Alligator mississippiensis: one gene and its partners. The protein of the gene in region 2 purifies or fractionates together with the protein of the main gene of each other region. This does not show direct contact. Links are inferred from orthologs where the notes say so. Each region holds a gene or a part of one and is shown on either strand. Other genes may lie near its edges.

The links.
Region 1: the proteins of STK25 (region 2) and CTTNBP2 purify together in Homo sapiens (affinity purification with mass spectrometry; 3 studies listed by BioGRID and IntAct, with this or other methods). This does not show direct contact. The link is inferred for Alligator mississippiensis from reciprocal best matches to the Homo sapiens genes STK25 and CTTNBP2.
Region 3: the proteins of STK25 (region 2) and SLMAP purify together in Homo sapiens (affinity purification with mass spectrometry; 5 studies listed by BioGRID and IntAct, with this or other methods). This does not show direct contact. The link is inferred for Alligator mississippiensis from reciprocal best matches to the Homo sapiens genes STK25 and SLMAP.

What each region holds. Positions count from the first base shown.
Region 1 is NC_081827.1:48,419,713-48,430,217, forward strand, and holds the start of CTTNBP2 (cortactin-binding protein 2), read left to right. Parts: upstream 1-5,076; 5' UTR 5,077-5,184; coding exon 5,185-5,247; intron 5,248-10,505. UniProt on the Homo sapiens protein: Regulates the dendritic spine distribution of CTTN/cortactin in hippocampal neurons, and thus controls dendritic spinogenesis and dendritic spine maintenance.
Region 2 is NC_081830.1:37,263,218-37,273,722, reverse strand, and holds the start of STK25 (serine/threonine-protein kinase 25), read right to left. Parts: upstream 6,058-10,505; 5' UTR 5,932-6,057; intron 5,631-5,931; 5' UTR 5,557-5,630; coding exon 5,506-5,556; intron 1-5,505. UniProt on the Homo sapiens protein: Oxidant stress-activated serine/threonine kinase that may play a role in the response to environmental stress.
Region 3 is NC_081835.1:20,912,261-20,922,765, reverse strand, and holds the start of SLMAP (sarcolemmal membrane-associated protein), read left to right. Parts: upstream 1-5,622; 5' UTR 5,623-5,702; exon of another isoform or gene 5,703-5,818; 5' UTR 5,819-6,651; coding exon 6,652-6,849; intron 6,850-10,505. UniProt on the Homo sapiens protein: Associates with the striatin-interacting phosphatase and kinase (STRIPAK) core complex, forming the extended (SIKE1:SLMAP)STRIPAK complex.

The DNA of each region.
Region 1 (10,505 bases), on a different chromosome or scaffold from region 2:
AAAACTTTTTTGTGTTAGGAAATTGTCATCTATAATTTTTGGAGGCTTTCAGAATGTTGCAGTATTGGCAGAATGAGATCTTCAATGTATGTCACTCAGAGTGAAGTCCCCTGTGATAATGAGAGTTTTCCCCCTACCCATTATAGAGAAGTGCTTATGGAGCCCGTCTTCCTGTTCCCTAGTGTGATTTAGTGGGCTGCAGTAGACACCAGCTGGTACTCCATCCTGTGCTTTATCTTTTAGAACATTGATCCATAAACTTTCAAGATCATTAGTTTCTGAGTTGTCACTGACTCTGACACTGGCAGTGCTATTTTTGACATAGAGTGCCACTCCCCCTCTCCTTTTGCCCACTCAATTCTTTCTAAATAGAGTATAAGCAGTGATTTTAACATTCCAGTCATGCGAATGAATCTTCCCACCAGGATTCAGTAATACATGCTAGATTGAAGTTATGCTCATAAATGAACAATTCCAATTCTTCTTGTTTATTATCCAGGTTCCTAGCATTAGTACATAGTCAATTAAATAATTTCTTCTGTGTCCCTTGGTACCTTGATTAATTTCGTTCCTGACATCTTGATTTTTGTGCTAACAGAATGCCTATTTGTTCTCCCTTTTGATCCTAGTTTAACAGTCTCTAGCCTGATGAACCTGTACCTTATTTCTCATCTAGTGAGACAGAAATAAATCCAGTATGCTCTCTTCAGCCTCAATGCAAAACCCAAACTTGCTACCTTACATAACTTTCCAGTGATTGGTTTGTTTCCCAAAATCTTCTGACTTTGTTCAATGGTATTCCTGAGATAACTCGGATATTCCTGAGCTCTCTGAAATTGTTTATATGGGGGGTATCATATGAACTGCTATATGACTTAGCATGGTAAATCTTGAATAAAAGAGATGGCAGACATTACCTGTACCAGCAAAGAGGTGGATGCTTTGGAATGGCTTTGCTATATTATAATTATGATGACTGAGGAGGCATTTTCAGTAAACCAGGCTTTTGGCATTTAACTTTCTGTAAAAATCTTCTTTGGGCTACAATTTCTCCTCCTTGCTCCCAGATCCGACCGGATTTTTTTTAAAACATCGGTAAAATATCACTTTTGTAACTGTAGATATCTAATTGAAGCTGTCAGCATTAGGATCCACCTTGTCCAGGATGGTTTGATTTCCCCAGTAACTTCTTCCCTGTTTTTGTGCAATCAAAGCAAATACTCTTTTCTATTGTGGCAATTTGCTTGGTAATAGATAAAATGAACATTATCCTGCACAACAACTGCATCCTGAAAGTGATGGACCAAACCCTACTGTGACAATTGTATAACCACAGGGAAAGAACAAATTTAAATCTTAGGTATAGGTCCTAGTCCTAGCAGAGAAATGACTTTCTTGACATAAATGACAACTTTTTCTCCATCAGTTGGGCTCAGCAGAAGTTGCAGCAGTGAGGGAGTTAATTCTCTCCAGCCTGTAAGCTACATTTCAGTAGTAAAAGAGCAAGTTTCCTCCCCCAAGCAAAGCAACTCCTTTGCCTCACTAATTTTATAAAATGAACCACTTGTGCCAACACAGGTAGTTTCTCCTGTTAGAAAGGCCCTAGCATGGGTATGTGGTGAAGAGTGTACTTTCTCTTTAACATGGGCACAGCAATGACTATTTTATTCCACATCAGCCCAGAACAGGCACCTGGACTAGGACCACATGGAACAAGTAACATCAGGTATAATCATGGAGGAACAGTCATCAAACCAAAGCCTCCCTTCTCTGACCTTCCTGTATCAGGTATGAAACCCTTCAGGATCACATGTCCAAAGTCTTCAGGGATGTCTGTGGCATAAAGCTGCAGGGATGTCTATGGGATAGCTGCAACAGCTGGGGAATGAATATAACTTAGTGTGGTAGCATGATCTTAGCAATCAAGGAACACACAATTTCTAGAATAGTGGGGATTCTGGAAAAAAGGGAGTTCTTTAACTGGCAGAAATGCAGAGATTCATAAATACAGTGGATAGCACTGACAAAGAAGCCACAACAACTGCACAGCACAGGAGCCCAGCCCAGTCAAAAAAGGGAGGAGAGGGAGCAAAAATCCTGAACCTAGCAGCACAGAGGAATAGCAAGGCCACATCTCACCTGTTTCTGTAGCTAACTGCAAACAATATGACTAGCATATTGCCTTGTCACATTTGAAACCCTAGGCCAAATGACCCATTTACAGCTCAGTCTGTCGCTCAGCTGGCACTAGTCCAGGGTAGAATTTATATTTGCAGTTCTGCAACTGTAGTAAAATACTTTAATCCATTCTCTGCCACCACACCCCTTCCTGCTCCCAATAATGGTCAATAATTCCCAGTATAGATTTAAATGCTGGGGTGCCATCACTAAATGGATTAGGCATTGTTGTTGTCACATCAGCAAAAGGGTTGAACAATGCAGAGATCCAGTAGGGTGTAGAATGGTTAAGCTGATCAACAATATTTTTAAAATTTTGCACTGATTAATTTATTGGCATGACAAAAATACAGCTCTTTGCTGCTTCAGAACTAAGTGCTTCTGTCACAACAGCAGATTAAGCCATTTCCAATGCTTGGGTGATGTGCCAGATATTAGCTGTCAAGAGGCAGGATTTTAGTTGAAGTCTTGCTGGTCCAGCTATCTTCTTATTTATTTTTTTTCTGGCTGAGACTTGAGAGTTGCTTTTCCTCCCTTTCCAACATCATTTCTAAATTTATCTTCAGATGAGAGAGATCAGTTCTCAAGGCTCACCTGGTGAGCTATGACTAATCTGATATTCATTGTTATTTTGATAAATTTTCCTCCAGTAACTGATAAAAGAAAACATCATCTACACCTCAAAATTGCATGATCTTGGCAGCATGAGAGATAAATTGTGCAGTCTTGGCTATGGAACTGTGATGGAAATGTACTAGAAATATGGAGTTAAAATAACTAGCATCTAGGTACCATGCTGACTGGATGCTTTTTAATAACCTGAAGAGAGAGAATTTAGCAAGTATGGCAGGAGATGATAGAATCATAGTAGTAAGAAACCAGGAATCTCCAACAGTGGAAAGAGCAGTAACCTGTGCGCCCCTGCGCCACTTCTTGTTAAAAAATGTCAGAAGAGGATCTTGTCGACTTTACGCCTCAATTCCAGGGACAGAGGAAAGTGTTAGTGAATTCTGGGACAGGGGAAAACTAGCAGAGCTGGTATTTAAATACCGGTTGGTAAGACGCAGAATGCTGACAAACCAGTCTCATTGATTGGGACCTGATCTAGAAGGGTTAAACATGACAGTGCACAGATGTTAAGGTTTTTATTTGGCGTGGGTCTTTGAGCTTTTGGGATTCTTCAAGGGTCATGTCTAGACTGCAAACCTACTATGCCTGGCAATAGCACCCTCAAACATATTGTGCAGCTCAGCATGCATTACCACACAGACTGGAAGCACGTACTGAATGTGAGCAGAGCTGAAAGGGCGGTGGAGCACTGTTGGTCAACAATGATAGTTAGCCCACCTTCTGTGCTGTGTGGCTTTGGTTGGATGTGGGAGAATAATGCATGCAGTCGCACAGTGTACTTGAGAGCTCTGTTGCTGGGTATGGTAAGGTTGTGATCTAAATGCGGCTGGTTTAGAACAGGGCAAATAAACTGTTACATATTGCACATACTTGGGAGCTTTTTAACATAGCATGTTTGGTAGATGTCCTCTATGACAAAGGCACACGTACACTTAGGGGTTTGCATACTAATATAGTTGAGGTTGGTTCTGCTTTGAGCAGGGGGTTGGATGAGATGAACTCCTGAGGACCCTTCCAGCCCTAATTTTCTATGATTCTATGATAAATAACAATTAATAATAATGTGTAGTATGTGACAGTCAGCCAGAGAATGAATCCTGCTCTAAAGAGGAGCAATGGCACTGGACTTCTTGGATCCTGAGGGAACTACATGAGCCAGGGCTCTGTGGTACTAACCCAATGTCTCCACTGGCTGGACCTGGCTCATGGACATATGGTGCCAACACAGGGGTGAAATCATAGTCCCAGGCAAGCCGGTCCAAGGGTAATTGGTGCCTTAGGTGAACTGTGTACCCCGGTGCCCCCACCACCTCCAACACAGAGGAAAATAAGAAGTCTGGAATGAACCTTTATATGTACTTGTTTGATATTCAAAATGAACAATAAAACAATAAAAACATTTTTAATTGGTTTTCACACTTTTCATTAACCCTAACACAACTATACTGCAAAAACTCTAATAGGATTTACTATATTACATGTACAATTAAAAGACAGTCCTCATGAACATTACAAAATAAAACTTTGCTTTTTGTGCTTTCGGTTTCTGTGATTCAGAACGGCGTTCCTGTTGTTTTGTTCTGGATTTCATTTTGGCACCCTGGATGACCACCTAGTTTGCCTCACGGCTGGCCTGGCCCTGCTCCCAGTGATGGCAAAGGCAACCCACCTGGTCTTCCCAGGTGGGGGCACCTGTGCCGCAGGGCTCCTTCCCGCAGCCACATCAGATACTCAGAGGTTTGGAGCGGATGGAGAAGGCGGAGATGCTGCTGGGTTTTTTTAAAGGACTTACATGCATCCTCATCCAGCGCTTCTCAACCCTGTGAGACGCCTGTGGTGCCAAGGCCCAGCCCAGCCCCGCAGCCACGTGTCAGCCGCCCCTGCCTAGGCAGGGCAGGGCAGGGCCCGCATCCAGGCGCCTTTTGATCCCTTAGGTGCCGGCTCCTCGTGAGAGCCGAGGCACCCCCATGACTGGCGCATCCTCTGAAAAGCCCGGCTCTTGGGGGGGTCGGACTGCGGAGAAACAATAGAGGCGCTGCCCCGCGGCAGGGCCCGGCCCGGCAGCTCCGCGGGGCTGCGGATTCCTGTCGGAAACCCCTGGCTCGAGCCGCGAGCGCTGCGGCAGCCCGGGGGCGAGGGCGGCTCCCCGGCCCCCGCGCCCGGCAAACCCCGCGGGGCCCCGCAGCTCACGGCGGCGCGGGCAGGCGGCCGCTGGGGAGCCCCGGGCTGCCACCGGCCCCGCCCGCCTGCCAGCCCCGCCCCGTCCCACCCGGCCCCGCCCGCGCCCGCCGGCAGCGACGGGGTTAAGCGCCGGGCTGCGGCGGCGGCGGCGGCGGCTGCCACTCGGCTCCGCGCCGGGGCCGTTACAGCGGGAAGATGGCGACGGAGGGAGCGAGCGCCGAGCCCGGCTCTGGCGGCCAGGAGGACGCGGAAGCAGCGGTAACCGAGGCCGGGGCCGGGGCCGGGGCCGGGCAGGGGGGACGCGGGGCTGAGCTGGGGGCTTCGCCCGCCCCATTGTTCTGTGCGGGCGGGGGGGGTGAGTGCGGGCCCCGCGGCTGCCCCGCACGACGCTGCCGGCCCGGGGCCGCTTCTCGTGCTGCTGCTCCTGCCCCGCGCCCCGGCACCTCAGGCGAGCCGGGACTTCCCTCGCTGCAGGGAGCCCCCTGCCCGCTTGCATTTATTTTCTTGTGACGGGCTCCCGTCAGCTCTGAGGGGGCAGTGGTTGTTTTTTTTACAAAAACACATCCACGTCCAGGCAGGTTTGCACAGACGTCCCTTCAGTCGTGCAGCCCTGAATCCTCTCCCGGCAAGCGAATGTAGGCGAGGATGTACCTGGCCATATTTTTTCCCTGTCTAAACTAACAAAAATCTTGGGGGCAAAAATAAAATAAAATAATTTAGGGATATGCTCTGGGAATTTTTTTTGCTCTAGGGATACACGGGTTTAGGTGGATGGAATCAAAAGGTTGGGAATGCGAGGACGGCTGTGTCGAGGTACTCGGAGTATATTTTCCAGAATAGGGAGCAAAACTAAAGCCAGTTAGTTAGGCCCATAAATGAGCCTAACTTCAGGCAACCTTTTCTTTAAGAACCAGGGCTTTGCATCCTGCCGACTTGCCAAAGATCCCTCCAGTATTTCAACCCCTTGTCCTTATTCTTCCTTTTTAGTATTCCTTTAATAATAATAATAATAATAACTGTTACAGATTTGGGGTTCTTTCTCCCTCTGAAAGAATGAAAAGAGACTATTGCTTATTTTAAAAGGAATCAATGCAGTTTTATGATGCATGGAAAAACCAGCCATTGGATTGTTTTGGGGCTATTGCCAGGCACCAGCTTAATTTATAGCCTAAAGCTCAGTGAAATTTCCAGTGGAGGATTTTAAAATTCAAGTGGACGCTTCTTAGTTGTTGGGATTGTTAACGGCTAGAGGGTGCAACGAACACTGTCTTGGACATAGAGTCAGTTGATACACAGTTGTCTTCTGCTACAATATTAAGTCAACAGTTTGGTCTAACAGTGGTATTGTCAGGGCATGATGATAAATGCTGTTTTCCTGGCATCTTAGTACAGCATCAGTAATACTTCGGGGGGGGATCTTTTGGCTGTTGCTTGGCTGCTCCTGAAAATGTAATGAAATAGGACTTTCACAAATGGTCTTGCTATTTACTGTCGCTAAGGAATTTATAACTGAAAAAGAGTAGAATATTCTTTCGTGTGCTGTACTTGGGAGGAAGCCAACATTCTTGTCATTCTGAGCTTTCTTGGTTCAAGTACAGCAGTTATGCCAAAAAAGAGAGATCCCACCAAAAAAACTTGGTATACTGTGTTACCATGGTAATAATGATAGGAGAAACTGGAGGAGACTAGCTCTGATGCCGCTGTCGCACCTGTGCAGCCCTTCCTGATTTGTACCAAAGCCAGTGGAATTTCATCAGCATGAGGCCAGTGTAATTTGCGGTAGGTTGGGGTGGGGAATGGGAAGTACTGTGCATTGACCTCCACCTGCATGATATCAACTAACAATGATTATATAATAGCAAGAAATGATCCAACATGTCAGTCTCTTTGTTGATATATGGGGGCAGCAGCCTGTGATGCAAAGAAAGCTGCGTTGACAGATGTGGTAGCCTAGGAGAGTATATAAAGAGGATGCTGTAAAAAGCTCCACTCTTTCTAACTGCTTTGTCTATGGTAAAATTAATTAGTGAAGGACTGCTCTGTTGTGTTTGTTTGTTTTTTTTTTGTTCAATGTGTATCTGATATCTGGAAATGGTAGCCAGCATTTTGTATCTTTTGAATTGCTTTTTGAAACTGTGCAAAAGATATCTAAGACTTAGTCTTGGTCTCTGAAGTCAGTGGGAATTTTGCCTTTGACAGCACTGAAACCATGATTTCACCCAGGGATGGGCAACAAATGGCCATGAGCCAGATCTGGTCAGTGGAGCCACTGGATCTTGTCCACAAAGTCTTAGAGCTTTGCCTATGCCTGCATCTGTGTGCTGAAGCTAAGCAAGGAAGAACTGCATGGGGGCTGGGCAACTTTCAGCTGCAGCCTGCCACTACTTCTCCTCTTCCCTCACCACCCCCATCCCATCTGAATGGCTTAAGCATCCCTCCTGCTCAGCGTATTCTTAAGCATCTATCTCTCCCTGTGCATTGTACTGGGCAATGCATGCTAACTTTGGCATGTGAAATCTATTTTGGGCACTGGTGCCTGAAATTGAGGAATGACAACATTCAGAACCACCAGTCCTAAGTCCCTTTGTAAATTTGTTCAGTGCTTCGAAACTGATACCAAAATCTCCTCCTTGGTTTCTGCCTAAAGCCTAACCCACCATAGTGGCAGGTGCTATCCTCTAAGGATATGCCTCTATTAGTGCTATATTACAAAAAAATAGTGTTTTAATGTTAATCTTTGCATTGTTACTGAATTTATTGATGGGAGGGTTGGAACTTAGATGGTTTTATAAAGTTTTTGGGCCACAATTTATAAGGAAGGTAAAGGTATGAAAAAACTACCACTAAAAGGGTTAAGGACAATAAAAAGGCATTCTTTAAATGTGTTGGGAACGAACTAAAACTAAGTGATTTTATGTGTTTGCTACTGGAGAAGAATGTTAACACTTAGTTACCAAGAGGAAGAAGTATATTTAAATATACACTTTTAAATAGGCAGGGATGTATAACTTGCACACGAGAGTATTAAAAGAATTGGCTGGTGAGCTCTCTGAGCTATTAAAGATCTAAAATTTCCAGATCAAACTGGAGAAATGCCAAGAATGATGGGATTGGGTCAGTTATGCAGGTTGACATGGATCACTAAGGTTTTCAGTTGGAAAAACGTTAATATGGAGACAAAGGCAAGGTCATCAGAACATGTGGGAATGAATATGTAGGTCATACATATGAGAGGAAAATGGTGAACTGCAAAAGGATAATATATAGGGTTATGGCTGATAACTGATTGCACTTGGAGTGCGCATTCAGTGTTGTTTAAAAGGCAAATCTGATTTTTGGATATAGCAGCAGGGGCATGCCAAGTAGAAATAGAGGTGTAGGTATCATAACTGAATACAGAATTAGCAAAGCCTTTACTGGATTAATTTGCATTGTCAGCCCCTCAAGAGGATCTTGGAAATTGGGCTTGCTTCAGGAAAAAGCTGAAAGAGTGAATCAAGTTGTGGAAAAAAAGGTCAGGCCTTATGGGCTAAACTGAAAAAGCTCAAATAGTTACTTTACCCTAGAGAGGAAATGGTTTGATCATGGTCTATGAGTATGTACAAAGAATTTTTGCTAGTAGAGATTTAGTTTAGCAGAAGGCATCATGGGATCCTGTGATTGAAGGCTTAAAACTAGACTAGAAATGAGTTGGGGGAAGGAGCAGATATTTGACTGCTGGAACAGCCTAAGAACTGTACTTTCTCTGTTACCTGGAAGGCTTATAAATCATGTGGTGGCTGAAACCATAAGTTACTGGCTCAAGGCAGAAATTACTGGGTGTGGTTCTCTAGTTTATATTACAAAGGAGGTCAGACTATTATAATGGTCCCTCCTGGACCTTAAAATCTAGGTCGAGGATATGTGCAGGTGTTTGCAGGTTTGAACCTTGGTTGCATTTTACAGCTTAGCATGTTAGTATTAGGAATAAAAACTGAATGCCCAGTACAGCTGGCTGGAAAATGCAGAAAAAATATTATTTGAAAATCTTGCGAAAGCACAGAAAATCATCAAGAAATTAGGAATTTAAAAAAATTTCAGAACTCTGTAAAATGGTCAGAGAAGTAATTTTGGCTCATTATAAGTAAGTGTGCCCAAGATGAGTGCTTTGTAATCAATATAAACATCAGTAAATAAAACAGATTTAGTAGTTGGAATTTTTTTTCAGGGATTTTTTTGCCAATTCATGAGCAAAACTCTACCTGCCTGAGCAAAAGAATAGAGAACGGATAAACTTTGCAACAAATACTGGAAATGAAACTGAATCCCAAGGATCTTGCAAAAACTTAAGCATGTTCTTAAATTTTGTGCACTGTGGCTGGAAATGGACATCGCCTTTGTGCCATCATAAAAATGTTTATGCTGTAAAAGGGCCAAGACAATAAATGTTCATGCCTCTTATCCACAAATGCTGAAAATCTATGGTCGTGACAGTAGGTGGTATGAATTTATGCTGCTGTTTTGCTGGGGACATCTGTTTGCTTTGAGGTGGGAGTGCATGGGCAGCCCAGGGCTTTAGGGACCTATTCCTGCATGCCTGAGAATTCCTGTTCCAGGGTTATGCAGGAGCATGCCCTCGAAGCCCAAAAGTGCCTGCCCAGGTCCCCCGTTTGTCAAGACATTCCCCATGTGAGAGTTCCAAGAATTTCCTGATTTGCAGCGATTCATGTCTAGGGAATCTGACTTGGGTTGCATCTCTGCAGATAGGAAAAACTTAACCCTAATTCCACCTGCTGGCTTTGAAATCTCTGTCCCACCATTTAGTTGAGTCTTGGGGCAGCAAGGGTGCACTTGGAGCTGGGCTGGGGAAAGCTTCTGCATGCCTGGTTCCTGGCCTTTCCCCAGCCCAGCTTCCACCTTCTGGCCCCTTTGGCTTCCCTTTGCTGCCCAGCTGACCTGGAGCAAAGTGGGTTGAGGCAAGCTACTTGGCCACAACAGCAGGGCTTAGGGGCCTTGCCATCTCAGCAGAATGCCCCTGCCTCCCTCTTCACTGCTCTTGGTCACTCTGAATCAGTACAGGGTGGAACAGGCTGCTGTGGCCCTGCTTCAAGGCTCCCAGATCCTGGCTGCAGTGGCTGAGTGCTCCCCCCCCTCGCTGTACTCTTCCAGGTCAGCCCAGAGATGTGTAAGGAATGAGGCTGTTCTGCTGGGGAGAACAAGGAGATTTCCCACTGTGTGTGAATATGAATCAGTTGATTGTTAGGATGGAGAAGGGAGGGCATTCTCTGAGGGCAGGTACCCTCTTTCCCCCCACCCAGCCCCCCAGGTCTTTGATTGCCTCTGCTTTTCAGCAGTTATTAACTGTTACTTAACAGCTTGCCCCCTTCCCAGGCAGGGGAGAAAGCAAGCTGTCAAATAATAGGCTCCCCTAAGAGTGGGGGTGGCCCAAGGAGGAGCCCTATGGGGCACTGACAGACATGGGGAGGAAAAAAAAGTGCTTTAGTGGAAGCAGCAGTGCATTAGTTTACCCTAGCTCT
Region 2 (10,505 bases):
ATCATCCACCACACCCTGCAGGGCTGAGGGGGAACTGGACATAGAGCAAGGACCAGCAACCTCTGGGTCCTTCAGCAATGACAGTGGAGGGCAGAGTGGTGGCAGGGACAGCGTGCCAAGCAAACAAGGCTAGCTGTTGGGAAGGCCATCTGGGGACATGCGGATGCAATTGGGTACAGTAATATGAGGCAGCTCCCAGCACAGCAGTGACTTGGGCGAGCGGTAGGGTGCAGAGCAGCCAAAACCACCCATGTGGTTAGTGATGGCCAAGACGCTTGGACAGACTGCATGAGAGACTGGTCCTATCCCATGAAAGGGAAGCTGGCACTTAGAATGAGAAACTCCAGCGTTTGCAGCTGTCCCAGCACAGATTGAGAGCCTCAAGGCTCAACCCCATCAGGTTTTGTGGAGAACTGGGGGCTGTAAATTCTTCAAGGTCCTCTTTGAGGCAGGGACAACAGAAAGGGCCTCTGGATGGGCTGACCACAAGCTTTGCCTACACAAGCTTGTTAAAAACATTACAAGCCCCTGACTGAGCCAAGCCCTGTGAGTGAATTACTCTGCCCAATGATGCAAAAAGCAAAGGCCCAACCCAAAAGTCACACTCCCCAGGAAATGCCTGCTGGAGACCATGAGCATGCTCACAGTGAAGGCCAGACCAGGCATCACCAAGGCCTTTGTCCCACCTAAGTACGGAAGGATCAGGGGAAACACGGCCTTGGCACAGACAGCATGAACAGAACAACATACAAACTGAGCAAAGATGGGTGCTTGCAATCCCGTCTAAGGCAAAGTGAGGCCACAGAAACCCAGCAAGGTTTCCTGAGGTCAATTCGGACACCTGCACAGTGAAGAGGAAATGCTCACTGAGGGGAGCGAGCAGTCCAGTCGGCCGACAGGCGAGTTTTGGCACATGATTATGCACTGCTGAGAGATGGCATGTAGAGGACAACCAGCATCCTCATCCTGGATACTGTCTAGTTCACAGCCTATTCTCACTGCTTAGGAATTGCTTTGGTTCCAGTACAGGCTTTACAATTAGAGTGACCCCCACCCCACACCCTTATACACAGATCAGACAAACAGTCATGGGGCACTGAAAGTGGAATCCTTCACCCCAGGTAAGGCACCTAGAGGGAGTGGACCCATCAGAGCCTAAGTGTACATTCATTAGCACCTGCCATGCTCTGCAGCTGCCATTCACATTAGAACCCTTTTCTGTTCGCTTCTGCTAATGCCAAGCCTGCAGCAACTGCAAAGCAGAGCCCCAAGCATGGCGGGGAGGAGAACCAGCTGACCTGCTGCTCTCTGTTCTATTACACAGCTCTTACGTGATGTCTGCCCAATCATATCTATGTGCTTGGCTGAACATTCATTGCACAGGCTCTGCAGTAAGAGAGGGACTCAGGCAATTCCAGCATTTCTCCTGTGCTGAACTGCTCTGCCAAGCCACTCAGAGCTAAAGAAACAAACGAAGTTGGGCTGGGGGTGGGAAACAATACTCTATGTGGGAAAGGAGGAAGAAGGAACATTAGGCTGCATCGCAGGCTCTGCTCCCCTCAACCCCACCTTGCTAGCTGTGGGAGAGGCATCCCATCACAATGGCTGTCAGGAAATGCCCTATCATGCACAAAGAGATAATGTTTTAAAGCAAAGCAATTCTCAGCTGGCACTGGGGGTTAAGAGGAATGGCATGTTCGGAGCCAGCCTGGCAGCTGTGAGCACTCCAGACTTGGCAGCGCTGCTGCTGAGGTGGGCAGCTCTAGAGGTGACACCGTTAAGTCCTGTTCTGGGAGGGGGTCAGGGGAAAAGGGAAAGATCCCACTCGCTCGGCAGGATTCAATCACTGCCTGGAGCATGAGGCACAGATGAGCTGGTTGGCAGTGTGCACTCACCCTGCTTCACCCCTGCTTCTCTGCAGTTCACCTGTGCTGTCTCCCCCAGGGCTCTGTTATGAAGGCACCAAGAGGTGCTTGCCTCCAGCCAGAAACCTGGGGTTTTCAACATGGGGCTGGGCCACAAACAGGATGCAGGGGTCACAGCCACCCTGCCCCTAAAAAAGGTGAGAACTGCAGGGCTATGCCAAGGGTTAGAACCTTCTTGATTGGGGGGAAAATATTTTGAGAGTCACTATGGCTTGTGCTACATGCCATAGCATAAACAGCTGGCTTCACAGCTCCAATATTCATTTTTCCCCCCTATAAAGCTTTTCACTCAGGTAATTTCTCAGTACTGAGATAAATATGCAGAGCTTCCCAGTGCTACACACCCAGCTAGAAGGGCCTCAACCTTAAAGAGATTGCAGCAGTTCTGACCTCCCTTTAGTGTTTCCTTCCCTCAAGCAATTCTCCATGTTACATATTAACCCTTTGGGCCTCTCCCAGACATTTCTGCAGCAACTGCCCTGCTTTCCTCAGTGAAAGTGATCCTGTCACATGGAAACACCTGCAAGTTTGCTGGTCACTACCTCACTAGCTCATGGTTTTTCTGTTGTCTGCTGAGCCAGAGCAAGGGCTTTGCACTTCTACAATCCCAAATAAAAAAGGCAATTCCCATGGCAACAAGGCTTTGTGTTTCTTTAATTGTCTAGCCAGGACTCCCCAAGTGCCATACTTGCATCAGCTCTCAGGACACTGCAAGGATGTCATGAAGTATTACTAAGCCACAGAAAGTTTGAAAGACTTTGTCAAGGTCGCAGAAGAAGCCTGCAACAAAAGCTGGAAGCAAACGCATAGCTGAGCTTGAAGCCAAAAGTTACTCGCATAACAAGAACAGAGCCTGGGGCTCCCCCTGTGCCATCTAAATGCAGCAAGGAATAATCCCTGCCCAAGACTGCAGGCAGGAGGGAAAGCAAGGACACAGAGAAGGGGAATGATGTGCCCAAGGTCCCAGCAGGTCAGTAGAACTGGGAATAGAACCCCTCCCTCCCCCACAGGCAGTCTGTGAACAATTCCTACTCCTCTTCCAAAGCCCCCCACGTACATAGAAGCCAATTTATAACCTGAGGCTTGTGGTCAGCCCCTGGAGGAAGGAGGAGGTGGGGGGTGGAAGAAGAACAACACAAGACACCTGTCAAATAACTTTCCTCTTTAAGATTAGCTGGTAGAAGGAAAGGAAAGGCTTTTGTTGCAACTAGAGGTCGTGGTAAGGAGAAGGCTGAGAATGCCCTTGTGGATAACAACAAGAAGGTAGCCATGGTTGGCACTGGTAACCTTACACCCAATATTCACTGACAAAAAGCTTGCTGCAACCAAAGAAATTATTTTTTGGTGAAGACACCCATCCATCACAAGCAGCTGTCCCCTCTATTCACTCTGGCTCCAAGTTACCCTTCTTGTCTCCTTACCTTCCTTCTGCCTTGTTCCCTTACCTACTCATTACCTACTTCTAGCAGCCCTCCTCTTGCAGCTCCTGCATTAAACTGCTTCATCAATGCACCATTTTTCAGCTGTAACTAAACAGATCCTCTCTGCTGTCTCCAATTCTCTCCCTCTGCTACAACTAGCTCAAGACATATTATTGTCTTTAATTCTGTACAGCATTTAGGGAACAGTTGGTGCTGCACAGCAAAATAAGTCACATGGCAAACTAATTTAAAACCAGTAAGAAAGTTTAATGGATCCAGGCAAAAGATAGCCACAGCCAAAAGCTTCCACATTTAAGTACTCAACCCCACACTTGGGAATGCAGAATGCCTGAAAGAAGTTTAATGTAAAATATGCCAGAAGAAGAGCTCTAAATCAGTGTTTCTCAACTGGTGGGACGCAAAGGTCATGTGGGTGGGACTTCAACTCATTACCCAATTGAAAAAAATCAAAGTTGTTTGCACTTCAAATAGATGAATCAATGGATCTCTCAAACAGTGGGGTTTTGTTTTTATTATGGTGGGACCAGGGTTTTTTTGACAAAATGACTGGTGGGACATAAGGTGCAAAAGATTGAGAACCACTGCTCTAGATCTCGATAGCTACAGCATTTGCAAATTTGGCAGAAAAATGTGGGAAGGAACAAGATGCCAGCTATGCCCTCCTTCTGCGGGGAAGAGGCATCCAATTTAGAGATCATTTACAACACTCTCACACCAATTCTGCTTACAGATCACCTAAAGTAAGGGACAACAATGCATGCACATTTACTTCTAATAAGGAAGAGAAATTCAGGTGGGCAAAGGGAGGGGGAGCTCTTGGATATTTCAGTCCACAACAGTGAACAAGTTCCAAGGTACCAGCAGTGAAGCTCTGGCTGAAGGATTCATGCCAAGATCAGTTCTCTGGCCCCTACCACAGAATCACCCCTTTAAGTCCAATTGGGAAAAAACATTATCACAGTGATAACACTGTTCACCAATGCCAATATATGTATTTTATAGGACAGTTACCTATTCAGAACCAACCAGGGAAGCTCCTTGCCCCTCTCCCATGCTTAGCTCAATCCACCAGCCCCAACTGTCCACTACGAAGGTTGCTCATGTACAGTGGTAGCCTGCAGTTCTTTTTTTGGACATATTTCTTCATCGAATCATGAGGAAGTAGCTGGGAGGGACCTCCAGAGGTCATCTAGTCCAACTGTCTGCCTGAGGCAGGATCCTCCCTATCCAAACTATCCCATAGAAACCATAATCTAAACTCTACATAAGACTGCCTTCAGCTCTGACACAACACTGACCTAACAACCTAACCTGCCACAGGTAAAGCAGGGGAACCAGGGCAGCTGACATCCTACTTCTATGAAAGGTTGTCAATATATGCTCAAGAAATCCCAGGGAAGAGGGCCATGCCCCCTGCTACAGAGAAAGGCAAAAACCCCTACAGTCCCCACCAATCTGACCATGGGGTAATGTTCCCTCTTGACCCCAAATATGGTGACTGGTCTGACCCTGAGCAAAGGGACAGGACTCCCAAGCCAGAAACCTTTGCCTTTGGTCCCAGCAGGAGCACTGGCACACCTTGATCAATATCCCCAGCCTTGGCTGTAGCCAACACCTAATGCCTCTGAGGAAGGCTTAAAAACACCCTTACACATGTAGCAGGAAAGGCAGGCAGTGGCAACCTGCAAAGCTCAGATGCCTGGGAAATCCCCATAGTAGAACACAGGCATCGCTACACCTGCATCTTCCCTGGTCGGGGGCTGTTCAACCTTTTCTTGATCACCTCCAGGGATGGAGAGTCCCTGCTCCCCTACACGTCTGCTTCACGGCCTGGAATTCTTACCCCGTTTGCCCCCAAATATTGGGAACGTCAGCGACTCCCACCTCTCTCAAAGAGACCCACGTTATATTTCGAGAGAGAAAGTGCACCTGTGCAAGCCTCCTCTTTCCTTCCTCTCCTGAAGCAGCAACCTTGCAGCATGTCAAAGCCAGGCCTGCCAGGGGTACAACAGCAGTCCCTTGGGAAAGAGAAGCCAGGCTGAGAGCACAGGGGGCAGAGGCACAACAACGGCTTGGCTCCCAAACCAGAGGGGGTTTGCTTCAGGGTTTGTCACCTGCTCTCAGGGGCAGATCCTTACCTGGTTGGCAAATTCCCTCAGGTGAGCCATGTCCCCAGGCTGGTCAGACATCCACTTCCACCAAGCCAGGCAGCGGGAGGCGTGCGGCACAGCCCAGGGGCAATGCTAGCTCCTCCGCGGATGAGCTGGGAGAGGCAAGAACGCAGCTGCTCTACTCCAGGTGCCCCGTGCCCACCTGGCTGCCAGCGAGCGCCCCCCACCCCGCTCGTGCCCGCACCAGGCCAGGGGCTGCCGCCGCCTCCCAACCACACACCCTCTGGGGCCTCCGGAGAGCCAACACCAGCCTGGCCGGCCCTGCACACCCCCGGGCTGCTGTCAGCCCCGTCCCAGCCTGCCCAGCGCCTCCCCACGACCTCCAGGGGCGCTCCCAGTGCCCCCAGCCCGGCCCAGCGTCCCGCCCCGCCCCGCAGCAGCCGTTGCCCCTACCCGCCCGCCCACCCGCCCTAGGGCCGGGGGGCCCGTTGAGGTGCGCGCCCCATGGCGGTGCGGGACCGGCTCGTGCGCAGGCAGCGGGCGCTGCGGGACCGCCTGGGGACGCCGCGCTCGCGGGGGCGGGGCGGGGCGGGGCAGGCAGTGGCGCGGCGCGAGGGCGGCCCCGGCCGCGCGGCCTCCTGGGAGCGGCAGTTCCCGGCCGGGGCTGACGCGCGCGGGGACTACGGCAGCCGGCAGGCCCCGGGGCGCGCGCGGGGCATGCTGGGGCATGTAGGCCCGCGGCGCAGACGGCTGGAACCACAAGCCCCAGCGGGCCCCGGGCTGCCCCACCCACCGTGTCCTGGACCACCGCGGCCGGCTCCCAGGAGGGAGCGAGGTTCTCCGTGTGCCCGGAGGGGACTGGACGGGCCAGTCCGCGCTCTGTCTGTACGCACACACACTCACTTATTTGCACGCATACTCATGCACACACACACACACACACACACACATATATATATGCATATACACGCACGCATACATATACAGGCACATGCACACACGTCTCCATTGCCACATATATACGCACACACATACACATATATGACACAGACATATACGCATACATACAAGCCTCTACGTTTAGGCTATCACGTGGGCACCACTAAGGACACACTTGTGTGCAAGAGCAGCATCATTTTGAAGGGGATGCCTTGGGGAGGCTCTTTGAAGTCCAGTGCAGTAGACCCCAGAGGTTTTCTACAGCATTATTCTTTTCCCTGCTTGGTTTTACTCTGGGAATCCAGGTCCTGTCATGGCTGAAGCTGGCAGGGTGACAGGGCCAGTGCCAACAATAGCACCATCAGATCAAGGGGAAGACAAGGTAGATAATAGAGGGAGAGACTGGTTTTAAACAAACTAGATGACACATTTTGCTAATTGTTTTTTTCCCCCCCCATTATTACCTCTCTGACTATGGTTTTGAGTAAAGAAGCCTTTGTTGAAGATCGCCTTCTTACCTTTCCATAGACAAGCCAATTGCTCATCATGAGCATCCTTCATCCAATGAAGCAGAGCAGAGTACACATGACTTCATGTTATTTCTTAGAAAAAAAAAAGGAACAAGTTGGAAAAGATACTTCCTGAAGAAATTACCACGCACATCAAACAAACCCATCTGAAATCCTGTGCTCAGGTCACCTTTCAAATCTGACTTGGACTCTTTCTAACTAGTAAAACAGACATCTCTCCATCAAACAGGCCCAGTTGCAGGTACCTGTACACACAGGTTTTTCCAAATGGCCATTTTGTTTGCTGGTGCTACCTTACCATGCTTGCTAAAAGCCATGGCAAAAGTGGCCCAGTTGTGAAACAAGTCCCTGGATTGCAACAAAGATCTAAACTAGGAAGCTGCAGCCTGAGGTTAGCACCTTCCCGACCTGCCACTTTGTTACACTTAAAAGGCCAGTGCCTAAAGCAGTGGTTTGCAACCATTTCAGTTTCAATGCACCCCCTAATAATCTCAAGGCAGCCCTTGGAAAATGCCCGCTCTTAGTTTTCAGTCATTTAGTAACTATAGAAAAATAAAGCAATTCTGCTGCTGCAAAGAATTTAGAAAGACCACAACAGGTCAAAATAGTTTGGACACTATGGATTCCTATTTGAAATCTCTGGGTTTACCTTGTGAATCATGTTTGTACACCTAACAGCGCTGACATTGCATGGCACCCCTCAAAGGATATCAAGGCACCCCCAGGTGCTGCAACACCCTGGTTGACAATCACTGGCCTAAAGGAAGAGAAGTGAAAACAACAACTGGCGTTGCAAATGTCTGTGGTTTTGGCAGCCATGAGAGTGTGTAGAGAGAGGCAGCACTTTTGAGTTCAGACGTGATGCCTTTCAGTTGAGAAGCTTTAGACAAAGAGCCACACCTTACAAATACCCAGATTAACTCCACACTTTGCCTTCCAGTTCTGGGGCAGGTTGGGCTGGTTGGTGATACGTGTAGGGCCAGCCCCATGAAACATGACAGCTGTATCCAGGACACACCTAGTCCCTTGCTTCGGGGGAACCAGAAAAGTGCAACAGCATTAAAACTTTGGAATAAATAAGTAAATAAAGCAAGTATCCAGATATGAAAGCCAATTGCTAGGGTATGGGAAGAAAAAGCACCTGGGCCCCAGCTGTGCAGCAATGTGGGAGGGCTCTGCACATGTGTAAGCTATTCATCAGTGTGTGTTATATGTCTATCCAGTCCACAGTAGATGTGAGTTAGTTACTGACCCAGCTGTAGTGTGTTCTAAAGACTCATGTTTCAACTGTGCCTGTTGAGTCCCTGGTGTTAACCAAAATGGTAATGGTTCTCTTTCTTTTTCTGTCTCTCTCACACACACATATGCTTACATTAAATGAGTACATTGGGAGTGTATCCCAACAAACTGTCTCATTAATCTTGTCAGTAATCCTTCTGCTGTTCCTGTGCACAGAATTATGAAGATGGTGAGGTGGAGGTGGTTATGGCTGTGGGGAAAATCATCAAAGAATTGTTTTGTAGGACTGACATACAGTAAGTCTTCAGCCCCCAGGTGACTTAGGTGGTTGTTTTTTGGGTTAGAGCACCCACTCTAAATGCTATGGGATCCCACAGTGTTGGCCAGCAATTCTGGAGCAGGACCACAGGCAGAGAGAGGTAGGGCTACATTCTGATGCAGAACAGCCGTGACTCCAGATCTTGACCCAGCTCTTCAGTGGCATATAGGTATGCAGATGAGAGGTAATATCAGATCAGAAAAATTACTTTTATTATCTGGAAGCTGGCTACCTCAAACTTCTGCAGACTAATGGTAACCAGTTTAATGTTTGCAAATCTCAGTGACATAACTTTGAAGGTTTGTGAGGCAATTACTGTTGATTCATGCACATGGGGTGGCAATTGCTAACATCCCAAAATAGCAGCTGGCTTTGAGACGATGGGCTTTTTGAACTGGACTGGGGCCAGTCATGGCACATGTGACTCTTGTCTGCTCCCACAAGATGCTCATGAATATAGCAGCCAGAATCATAGACTCATAGAAAAGCAGGGATATTAGTCCATCACCCTTCGTGAGGCAGGATCATTCCTATCCAACCATCCCATTAAAATCCATTGTCTCACCTATTAGCAAAATTACACAGTCAAACCTGGCACAATTACGAGAAATAACACCCTAACCTGCCACAGGTAAAGTAGAAGGACCACAGCAGCCAGCATCTTGCTGCTGCAAAGGTTATTAAAACACACTTGAGAGAACCAAGATAGTGGGCACACACTCAACTACAGAAGAAAACAAAAACCACCACAGTCCATGCCAATATAACCATAGGGCTACATATCCTTCCTGACCCCAAACATGGTGATCAGTCTGACTCTGAGGCAAGGGAAAGATCCTCTAGCTAGGAACCTCTGGTTTTAAGTCCCAGAAGGAGCACTGGCACACCCCACTCAAAATCCCCAGTTTCTGAGGGAGACAGAAAAAATCCTGATGCATGTAGCAGCAGGAGGGGAAAAAATTCCTTCCCAGCCCCATATGGCAGCCAGCAAAGCCCAGAAGCATGGGAAATACCAATAGCAGAATACAAGTGTAGCAAGTATCTGATGTTTATCAAACCTCTTCTTGACCACCTCCAATGATGGAGGTTCCACAGCTTGCCAAGACAGTCTATTTTGCTACTTCACTGCTTTAACAGTGAAGAAGTTTTTTCCTGATAAATAACCTACTTCACTGCAACTTCAAGCCAATGATCTGCATCCTACTCTGAAGCAAGAGAGAAGAGATGCTTTTCCTCTTTTTTATGGAGCCCTTCAGATATTTGAAGACTGCTCTTCAGATATTTGAAAGATACAGATGGCTCATTAAATAGGCCTAATTGATTGCAGATGGAATTTCAAGCACAATAACTTTCTCAAGGAGCTGATGTTTACATACTTGGATAGCAGGAACTTGATTCCTCCCAGTAATCTGGATATTAAGGAGGAGTCTACATCCACGATCACTTTAGGAGAATTGGCCCATCCCTTGCTGTCCGGACTTATGATGTCCAAACCATATTCTAGAAGACCCAGTAGAGCAGCAGTTATTGCAAACTGGTGAGTGGCAGGATGGTAGTGGAACATGTGACTGAAGGCAACATGGTGCTGCCCACAAACCTGTTTGGATGTGAATGGCCCCATAGCCATTCCTGCGCTTAGGGTGTACTGTACACTGCCTAGCATGTGTGAGGGGAAGGAGGAAGGTACCAGGTACCCTGGCCAGAAATGGGCCAGTGCCTATGCTGGTTTAGTGAACTGTTACAAACAGCCAGAAAGTGCATCACAGGGGCTGCGTTCAAGAAAGGGAAGTAAAGGACATCCTTGTTTTGGAGAAAGACGTGGGGGAAGGAATAATGAGTGCACACCATTAGTCAGTTGTATCTATTTATGGATGAGAAAATCAATGTCATGTATTATTAATCTGAAGCTCCATCAACATCTTTGTTTTGAAATCCCTGGTTCTCATTTCTTTCCCAAATACTGACACACCCAGGGATTAAGTAACAAAATAATTCATTAG
Region 3 (10,505 bases), on a different chromosome or scaffold from region 2:
ATAGGTACTCTGGATTACGCACAGCATTTCTTCCCTCCAACACTCTAGTGGGTAACAGGAAATTGCTGTGAACCAAGAATATTTTTGCAGCTGAATGTGAGGGTTAGCTGCTTTACAGTGCACAGTAAAATGTACCTGCTCCCCAGAAATAATCCCTTCAGGTTTTACAGTTCTGCTAAATACAGTTTGGCTCCACATGTCTCAACAGGTAACTTTTGAGGTATTGGACTGGGATGTACATCTCATTACAATTGAATTCTGCTATGAACTTCCAAATCACCCTACAAAATAGACACTATTTGCCTAGCATCATTTTTTTCAATATAACTTCTCCTCAAATATGTCCAATAGATGAGATTTGGAGCATATCTGGATGATTACAAAAAACTAGACCTGATACATCAGGGTGAGTAGTGAGTTCCAGAAGTGAGATTCCTTTGGGAAAACACTCTACCACTAGCTTTCCTTTCAAAATATAGCTGTTTTCAGGGGTAAAGAAAAAGTTTAAAACCAATTATGTGGCAGTAACAGCAACATTTCTAGTCAGGCACTGCTAAAAGAGTAATTTCACTTCCTGGGTCATTATAATCTACCTGATTCCATCTAAACTCATCATTTCACAGGTGTTAACAACCTCTCTTTTTTTTTTAATTAGGGGTGCACTGATAGAGATTTGAGACAGACAGCTAATTTTTAAGGAGGCATATTGGCTGATACTGATCTGATTTCCAATACAGCTGAGTGCAGCTGGTAAGTCTGCTGTGGTGGACAGGGAGGGAAGGGATGTGGGGGTGCAGATCGAGGCCCCTATGGTGAGAGAGGGAGTGAGGCTGTGGCAGGGGCTGGCACTGCCCAGCTGGGCTGGGGACGGAGCCACGGTTCGTCTAGGGGGCGTGGGGAGGTTGGGTGGCTCCTGCCACTGTGTATAACCCAGGAGGTTATGGGGCGGGGGGTGGGGGTGTGTGCCCCTGGATCCACATGGCGGGGGGGAAGGGAGGGCTGCAGCTGCGGGCTGGGACTGCGCTGGACTCTTTGTGGCGTGTGGGGGGTGGGATTGGGCTGGGGCTGTGCTTAGGGAGGGTGCTGGCAGTGCTGGGAGAGAGGTTATGGGGGTGGGGACTGCAGCCACCCCAAATTTTGCCATAGTTTCTCTCCCAGTACCCTGCCTGCTGCCCCGAGTGTAGCCTTGAGCACAGCCCTCATGCGCCAGGAGCACAGTTCTGAGCAAAGCCCACATGTCCTGGGAAGAGCCTGGAGCAGCCCCGGCCCACGACCGCAGCCCAACTTGCCTGCACCCTGTGCAGATCCAGGGGCACAAGCCCCCCATACCCTCCCAGGGTGCACACAGTGGGGAAAGCCCCTCCCTCCTCCGTGCCCCACAGACGAGCCATGGCTCCATCCCATGCCCTGCCCCAATGGAGCAGGGGCAGGTGTTGCCCACTCCCTCCCTCCCTCCCCCTGGGAGGGTGTTGCTCTGCCCCCCCACCACACCCCTTCCTTCCACCACAACAGACTTACCAGCTGGATGCAGCTCTTCATGCTGCTGCGTTGTGGCATGTAGGTTGACATTATATACCTCCAGCACAACCAAAGAAGTGATTTTCCCACTCTACTCGGCACTGGTGAGACCACAGCTGGAATAGTGCGTCCAGTTCTGGGCACCACACTTTAACAAGGACACGCTAAAGCTTGAGTGAGTCCAGAGAAGGGCCACCCGTATGATGAGAGACTTGCACAGCAAGCCATATGAGGAAAGGCTGAGGGATCTGGAACTCTTCAGCCTGGAAAAAAGAAGGCTGAGAAGGGACTTGGTAGCAGCTTACAGTTACATCAGAGGCATATGTCAAGGGCTCGGTGAACAACTGTTCACCAGGGCACCTTTGGGGAAAACTACAAGTAATGGTCACAAACTTCTGGAAGACTATTTCAGGCTCAACATTAAGAAAAACTACTTCAGAACTAGGGTGTCCAGACTGTGGAATAAGCTCTCTCCAGAGGTGGTGCAATCGCCTACACTGGAGATCTTCAAAAGACCGGACAGGCACATTGCTGAGGTCACCTGATCCCAATTGTCTTCCCTGCTTGGTGCAGAGGGCTGGACCCAATGAACTTCTGAGGTCCCTTTCAGCCTTATGGTCTATTAATCTATTAATTTATTGGCCAAATTATCGGCCACATCAGGCCAATTTCTGACGCAATCAACTTTCTTTACATTGGTGCCGATACAAAGGTCTGGATATTCCACTCATCAGGTTATTGTTTGTTCTGCAATTCCACCATCTGTTAGTTGCTGCTCCTGTAATAAAGCTCCTGTTTCACAGCTCTGAGATAGTTTTTAACTCACTCCAACTTACATTTGAATATAAGTTACTTATATTTTTCTTGAATCTTAAACTGAATAATACAGTTATTACAAGTTATTCGACATATTAGTAAAGCTTCTAATTTATTTTTAACTAGAGAAAAATATGTGGGATGATGCACCTCACCATCAGCACCCCCTTTTCAAATTATATATCTGCCCATGGTTGTTTTAATTGTTTGGAAAGCAGAATGCTAGAAGGGATGCAGTTTCCCAGGTACAGCAGGCAGGCCCTACTGACACAAGTGAAGGTGTGTTTTACTGGGGCCTTTTAGACTTAGAGGCAACATGAATCCCAGTCTCTTCAATCTCTCCAGTCTCTTGTCATTTGGAAGTCTCTCAATTGCCTCTGTTTAATTTCCTGGAAATAGTCTCTCTGGAATGTCTCTGTTCCCTATAGTCATGGTCCTGCTCTATTTTATTTGATATAGAATGACAAAAAATGAACACATTATTCTGTGTACTACTGGCTCATCTAACAGCAACATAATATTTTCCAATATCATTTCCCATCCTGTTCCTTATACCAGAGACTCCAGAACTTTTCTATAGTGAAACTTTTTCCTGGAATTCCCACTCAAGATGCCCACTCGCATCTAGGCAGGATATAGCTGACAGCACATTTCCATGTACTAACTTGAAAAGGACAGGGTAAGTATCATTCCTCTGCCATATATACAAAGTGCCAAGTGATAATTTCTATACTTGATATATCCTGTTATTTATTTTGATTTTTTTGATCACCTAGTCCACAGTGCTGTTCCAATTTTTTCCCCAAATGATCCTAGTTAAGTTTGAATTTATGGCTGTGTCCCTGCAATAAAAGTTCTTTAAATGTTGAGCACCCTGCAGGACCTAAGAAACATTCCAGACATTCAGGCCAAAGTCCTAACGTTAGGCAGGTATGCACATGACTCAAAGATGCTGCATTCCACAAGTCTGGCAGGCGTCATCTCCCCTAGAAGGGTAAAGGTGATTTGCCCTTCATTCCCTTATCCAAAATGGCTACTGACAATTGTCTTTGCCCTAAACAATGATGGCTGTCATATATAACACTTATAGACTTTCTGCCCTTAACTATGATGGCCACTGAATGTGATCTTCCTGCCCTTATCTAACATGGTTGTCAAATTTCACCTCTTAGGCTCTGTGGCAAATGACAGTTTGCCTGAACTGAGCATGTACTTGTAAGTCATCTTTACTCCTGGCAATTAGTCTACAGTTGCAAATTCTGCACCAGAGCCCATTACAGATGCCTAGCCACCTGTTCCTTTTGCTGGTCAGAGGGACACTTTGAAAGGTATCAAAGACCCCAGAAGCTGTTTTGCACCCCCACTTTCTCCAGTTTGTTAAATAAGAACTGAAGTAAAAAGGAAAATATGTAGACTATAAGACAACACCGTGTGTGTTTGGTTTTAAAAAACTGTAATTGTAAAACCTACATACAGTGAGTGATCAGAAGATGTTATTTCTCTATTTCTGCTGTCCTCTAATCATTTTATTCCCCGCTCCCACAGAGTATAATTTTTTTCTCTGATGTTTTTTCCCCTTGAGTCTCATCATCAAACCCTCTTTCCTTTCAATCAATCAATCCAAGATCCTTCCAAATATTTAAAAGGATTTGTTCTCACAGGAATTCTGTCCTATCCTTTGCCCCATGAGCATACATTTTTCTACCATCTCCTTTTCTATTCTCCCCACCTTCAAAATGTCTGAATGTATTTCTAGTAAGTCAATCTGTTTATCCAATCCATTTGCTGTAACATTTGAATTTCGCTCACCGTGTCCCTAATCCTTTTATAAGATTCCTTTTCCCCATGACTTGCTACAAACAGCCTACGTAATGACACTCATTAAATAAACTTATTTTCTGATTGTGGGTTCTGGGTCACAATCAGATAAATTTGAGATATGTCAGCAAAATAAGCCTCTATTTTAAATATACCAATTTGTAGGTGATATGCCATATGCTTTTGAGTTTTGGAAACAGTGCAATGTCTTGAAGTTTGAAAATCACTACCATAGTTTCATACCTCTTGTACAGTTACCCCTCTATCACTTTTCCCTTTTTGCCTTCAAAATTATGCAGTCGTTTCTCATCTTAGATATCACTTCCCTGCTTCCAACACCGTAATTGATTCAGTGCCACCTGGCTTTTAGTCTCTTCCCTCCCCTAAGACTTCTCTTTCTGCCATGTCCTATGTTTTCATTCTGCTTTGACCTTTGTTACCCTTGACACAGTTATCCACCACTCTTCCTTCCTCTTGGGCTTCTGGCACTTTTCACAATTCCAGTCTCTCTCATTGATTGTTCACGGCCGGCCTCTCTCTCTTCATTCGTTGTTCTTATTTTTCCTGCCTGACCTCCACTTCCATCTCTCAGGGCTGTATCCCTAACTACCCTCCTCTGCATACTGTGTCAAAGGGTGATCTTATCTGATGGCCAGACTTCATTTTTTATCTGTATCGCTCAAACTGCCAGCGAGCCTCAAGGAGACTGAATGGCCAAGGGCCACATTGAACTAGTACTCGAGAGACCAGTTCCACCACTGCATTTTACTTGATTTTGAGCAAATCTCTTTGGCCTCAATTCCCCCTCTTTGTAAAATAAAAATACATACGGACCTGCTTTATAATCTACCGACGGAAAATGCTGAGTAAGAGGCGGGCATTGCACAGTGGATACCTAACTCTTTTTTTTTTTTGTCCTCTCCTGTCCTCTGCTCAGCCCTGCCTCTGCAATTATCCTTCCCACGTCTCGCTCTCTTGCAATCTGGGACTTTAATTGGGTTAAGACCCAGCCGAATAGATAGGCGAATGCCTTGCGAAAGTGAGACACGCCTCGCAGCCGCGCAGAGAAGAACCTCCGAGCCGAGGCCGGGGCAGGAAAACCCGGGGGGGGGGCAGGAAAACCCGGGGGGGGGGGGCAGCAAACACCGCTGCACTGTCCGCCGGTTTAGTTACAACGAGAAGCACCCTCCCCGACCCCACGTGGGAGAGCGGCCCCGGGCCCCACCGGCTCGCAGCGAGCTGAGGCTGTCGGCACCTCCTCCCCTCCACGCGCCCCGCACCTGCGGCCCGTCGCCGCCGCATGGAACACCCGGAAGCGCAGCCCGCAAGTGCGGGCACCACCTCCAGCGCCGCTTCACGGCACTCAGCGCGCAGGCGCTACAATCCCGCGCCTGCGCCCTGCCGAACCCGCGCCTGCGCAGAAAGTGGGAGGCGGGCGCGGGGCCTTCCCTTTGGTCAGGCCCGGTGCGAGCGGCTCCTCCCTCCCCCGGCTGCCCCCCCTTCCCCCGCCATCACCCGCCTCCCGGCCGCTGCCGCCGCCGCCGCACCGGGTAGGTTTGCAGTCACTATGGCGGCTGCAGCGGGGAAGGTAAGAAGGGCGGGGAGCGCTGCGGCGCCCGCACGGGCCGGGCCGGGCGACTCTGACGCCGTTTCTTTGGCTTTGCAGGTCGGAGGAAAGTTTTCGGCGTCGGCGGCCGCCTGAGCGAGACCCGGCCCGGTCTCCAGGCCGCAGGAGCGGGCGCCACCCGGATGCGCAGCCACCTGCGGGGCCCCTGAGCGCCGCCCCGCGCCCGGGAACCGCGGAGGCGGCCTCGCTCCGCGCCCCCCGCCGGCCCCCGGCCCGGGCAGGAGCAGCCGCGTCGCCCCCCCCAATCTTGGACCACTGGCTCCTCTCCAGGGATGAGGGCGGCGGGATGCGGCAGGTCGCGGGGACCAGCTAAGCCACCTGCCCCTTGAAGGCTTCGTTCGCCGTGTGCCTGGACGCTGCGCCGTGCCCTTCCCCGGCTCCTCCTTCACGCCTTTCCTCGCTCCCACATTGTGGGTGTCCAGTCAGCCTTGTTTACGGAAGGGGGTGGGGGAAAAATCGAGGGGGAGGTAGCCTGCATCCATCCCAAACAGAAGTCTTGGCGTGTGACTCATCAGCTTGGCTTTAAAGATCTCCCTTGCTTCGTTCAAAGGAGCGCACTCCTCTTCGGAGGAGCCCCATGGTTGTTCCTGTCTGCTCCGAAGAGGATGGATTGAAAGCTGCGTCTTCTGGGCGTCGCTTGAGGCACTGCTGATCTTCTTCGTGGACATGATGGGGCTTTTTCACTGGATTATTGCCAGGATTAGTTTACACACTGAAACTGTGCGTTGTTAGGCCTCGCTGGGTGCAAGTGATGTTTGTCTTGCGTTCATGTAAAGTTTCTGGAGATTTGGGTTAAAAATTGTGGAGGGTAGCCTGCATCAGAAGAGATTCTCTTCCTCCCTGGTTGTTGTGACAACCGCAATCTGTCCTCGATGCCTTCAGCCTTGGCCATCTTCGCTTGCCGCCCGAACTCTCACCCGTTTCAGGAGCGCCATGTCTACCTGGACGAGCCCGTCAAAATTGGCCGCTCAGTGGCCCGCTGTCGGCCAGCTCAGAATAATGCTACTTTTGACTGCAAGGTGCTGTCCAGGAACCATGCACTTGTCTGGTTTGACCACAAGACAGGCAAGGTAAGGCCATTTTTGCTCTCCTGGAGAGGAAAATAATATATGACAGGTTATTTTCAGCAAGTCACTGTACATTGTGAGCGACTTGTGTTTTTCCTTGAACTTGGTTGCAAACTAAGTTTATGCTGCGGCTAGGGTTTTGGGGTTTTAGTTAACTTAAACTCTACTAAAGGCAAAAAAAACTGAGAGCAGGGTTTGTGAAATGCATTAAGTAGTAGAGGAAGCTGGTGGATCTTCCCATGATCACTTCTCATTTCTGGGGATGCATGACTTTCAGGGAGGAGTATTTTATATAACTCAAGGAACTGAGTTATAAAACCTGAAGTAAGGTAAATAAATGCTCATCATGGTAACCATGAATAGTTATTGTTATTCTGGTGGAACTGGCATCTCGCCCCAGTGCTGTGTTAAAATGGATGTATCGGCATGTATTTTTTTCCTAATACTTAAATATATATCTGGTATTCATATGCTCAGAAGAATAACTCTTAATTTTGAGCAGCTGTCATGCCAAAAGGAAAATAGCGAAGGAAAAAAAATGTATTACTCTGGTATTCTGCCAATTTATGCTATCAACTTTTGAACAATATATTTTAATACTCCAAGCTGATAGTCACAGTATCACTAGCAGGAGCATTGTAGTTTAAGGTTTGGATTATCTGCTATCATTGCTCGTGAACTGGAATTAAAATATGCTGATGTGGTGTTAACCTGGCCACAGTCCTCTCGAAAGAGGACAGCAGCTAGCACTAAATGGAAGTTTAAGAGCTTTGTAATACTTGTTTATGTCCACTAGGGTCTGAACTGGAACAGGCAAAATCACTTTGCTTAACCTGTCAAACAAAATATTTAAACTGCTAACTAGTAGTGAGAGCTGTTTTCTTTCCCCTCAAAATCTTCAGTCCTCTCAAAAATATGTACTAAAAAGCATGAAACATTTTGAAAAATGGATATAAAATGGGTGTGATACTTTACATACTGTAATCTAATTCAGTTGTCTGATGACTGTCTTTATGTGTTCCTCTATTAATTACTCTTTTTATTGCTTTGTATTCTAACAGAATACCCTGAATAAGCTGCTGCACCCGGTTTTTTCTTTTTGTTTGTTTTCTTTATTATCATGACACAGCATGAGGACCAGTGCGATACCCTGACAATTCTTAAAGCTTCAGATGTTAACTACTATATGTTATGCAATACATAGGCATGATGGGACAGGACATGAGTTTAACTTTATTAGGTTGGGTTGGGGCATGACTTGTAGATTACTTGGGCATAATTGCTCATTAACCTATTATTTGTTTTGCTATTTTATTTGACGCGTTATGATTCCATGTGATGCTGTAGAAGAGATGCATGCTTGATGCATTGCATATAAGCCGTTTAGGTTATAACGTCAGTTTAAAGACCTGGGATGCTTTCAAGTGTGAGCTAATATGCAGTTTTTCTTGTTTGAAATAATAAGTTGGATGCAGTAACCTAAACTATCTGGTGTAGTCCAGCATTTTTGACAGATGCATTCCAATTTTATTCTGCTTTCTGCCTGAGCTTCTCGGTGCTTTACAAACTTAATTAAGCTGCTTAACACTCTTGTGATATGAATAAAGATGCCCTTTTTTACGCAAGGTTCATTTCATTCACAGGGAGGCTTTGATGGTGGGCAAATCAGCTAAGTGTTGGGAGAGCTTAAAAGATAAGCAGCTCTGTTGTTTTAGTCTAGTGCAGTTAGCTTTAGACTTACCAATGCAAGTAAAACATGAGCTTTCAACATACAGAATAAACATGAAAAAAGCTAAGTTGCTGGTTTGAATCAGCCCAAGTCCATCTGATGCCTCCATCTTTCATTTGCTATGATTGCTGGGCCTCTAACTTGGACAGGGGTCTCCCTCATAAACCCATCATCACAAATATTAAACTTGCAGGCACTTCCAGCCTATATGGAGGAATGAATTGGGTTAGAAAATTCATTACCTTCTATTTCCCTGATGAAGCTGTTCTGAAACAGGTTTGAGGCATGGTTGTATAGCAGAGAAGGGAGGCTTGAACTCTTTGGCTCCAGGGGAGTATTGCGTTTCTATGTCTGTCTGAATCTCTGTATGAAAAGTAAATTCCAAAGAGGATGAAGTGGTGGTTGGGAAGGGAGGAAAGATATGCTTTGTCAGGCAATATAGTTTTATTGGTGTTACAATGCAGAAGATATAAAACATTGTAGGGAAAATGCAGTAGGAAAACAAGTGGAGAGAGAAAATCCTTAGCTTCCTTCTATAATAAATCACAAAAATACACAGCTCTGTTTACAAGTCCTTACTCTTAAACCTGCAGTGTTTGCAGAATACAAACAAAAACAGCAGTGGAATCAAAGCATGTTGCTAACATCTGCAGGCAAACGTGTTGCCAAAGCCAACTTTTTAAATCAGTCTTTATTGCCCAGGAATATTTTATTAACCCATCCGTAATGTAAACTTAAAAGTATATCACTTTTGTTTTATTGTTCAACATGATTGAAAATTTGTCTGAACCTTGTCAACTCTTATCTTTTTATAAGAGCTTAGGCGATATTTTTAAAGTACAATGTAATGGAGAAAATTATGAGAAATGAGTAAGATTTGACACTGTGATCTGAGGTACCGAGGCTTACATGGAATGAGTAGTTCACTGTCAATGTGGCTGCTTCATGCACAGCACTAAGTGACTGTTAAAAATGACATGATGCTTGTTGAAATGTGTGCTATACTGAGAATAGGGTCCTTTAAACAGGTCTGAAAAAGTTCCCTGTTCAAAGAAGCTAATTTTTGTAAGACCAAACAGTACTAACAATAAAGGTAAGGTGCAAAAATGGGAGCATGTTTTTGGGGGAGACCTCTTGAGAGTAAGTAAAGTAAAAATGGCTTTAAAGGGAAGTGTCTAATTGAAAGTTGAACTTCTATTTTAAGAAAGTAATCTACTATTAAAAGTAACAATGGAATCACTAACTAAAAGAGGGGGACTAAGATTGGTTTTCAGGTTTCCTCTCTGTACTTGGAAATACTTGACAAATAATCACCTTTTATTGTTTTTTGTATAGATAGAACACCTTTGCTTTTGGGTTTTTGCACAACAGAACAGTTATGCACCCAAAAACCCATCCAGAGTACATGCCCTGTTGTAAGCTATTGATGTGCAGAAGCTTTTTGCTGAGTTTTTTTTTTTTTTTTTTTTTTTAAACCCTGGAATAAAAGGGGTTCTAGGCATGAGAAGTTACTGCTGGCTGATACAGATTTCCCTGCGGAGGTACCAACCAGAGCAACTGCTGCAGAGTTAATACTGTAATTGTTGGAGCTTATCCAAAGCAATTGTGGAGCATCAGTCCTGAGATAGGAGCACCAACATATTGATTAGATTTTTAAAAAAAAATATGTACTTGAAATGAGATTTCACAAGCCTTGAGTGATTTTTTTTTTTTTTAGATTTATTTTTATTTATTTTTTTTAACTCTTTTGCAGTAAAAAAGGCCAGTGAATAAATTTTCTTATAACTTGATGGTTTCTGTTTATGCCCAGGCCCATAGCGTAAGCATAAAACTAGGCCTTTCCTCTATATTTACATTGCCTAAATTTTTCACTAGAAAAAGTTGCATCTATCCTAGAGGTTTGTGTTGCTTTTAGTATATTGGTTTCCAC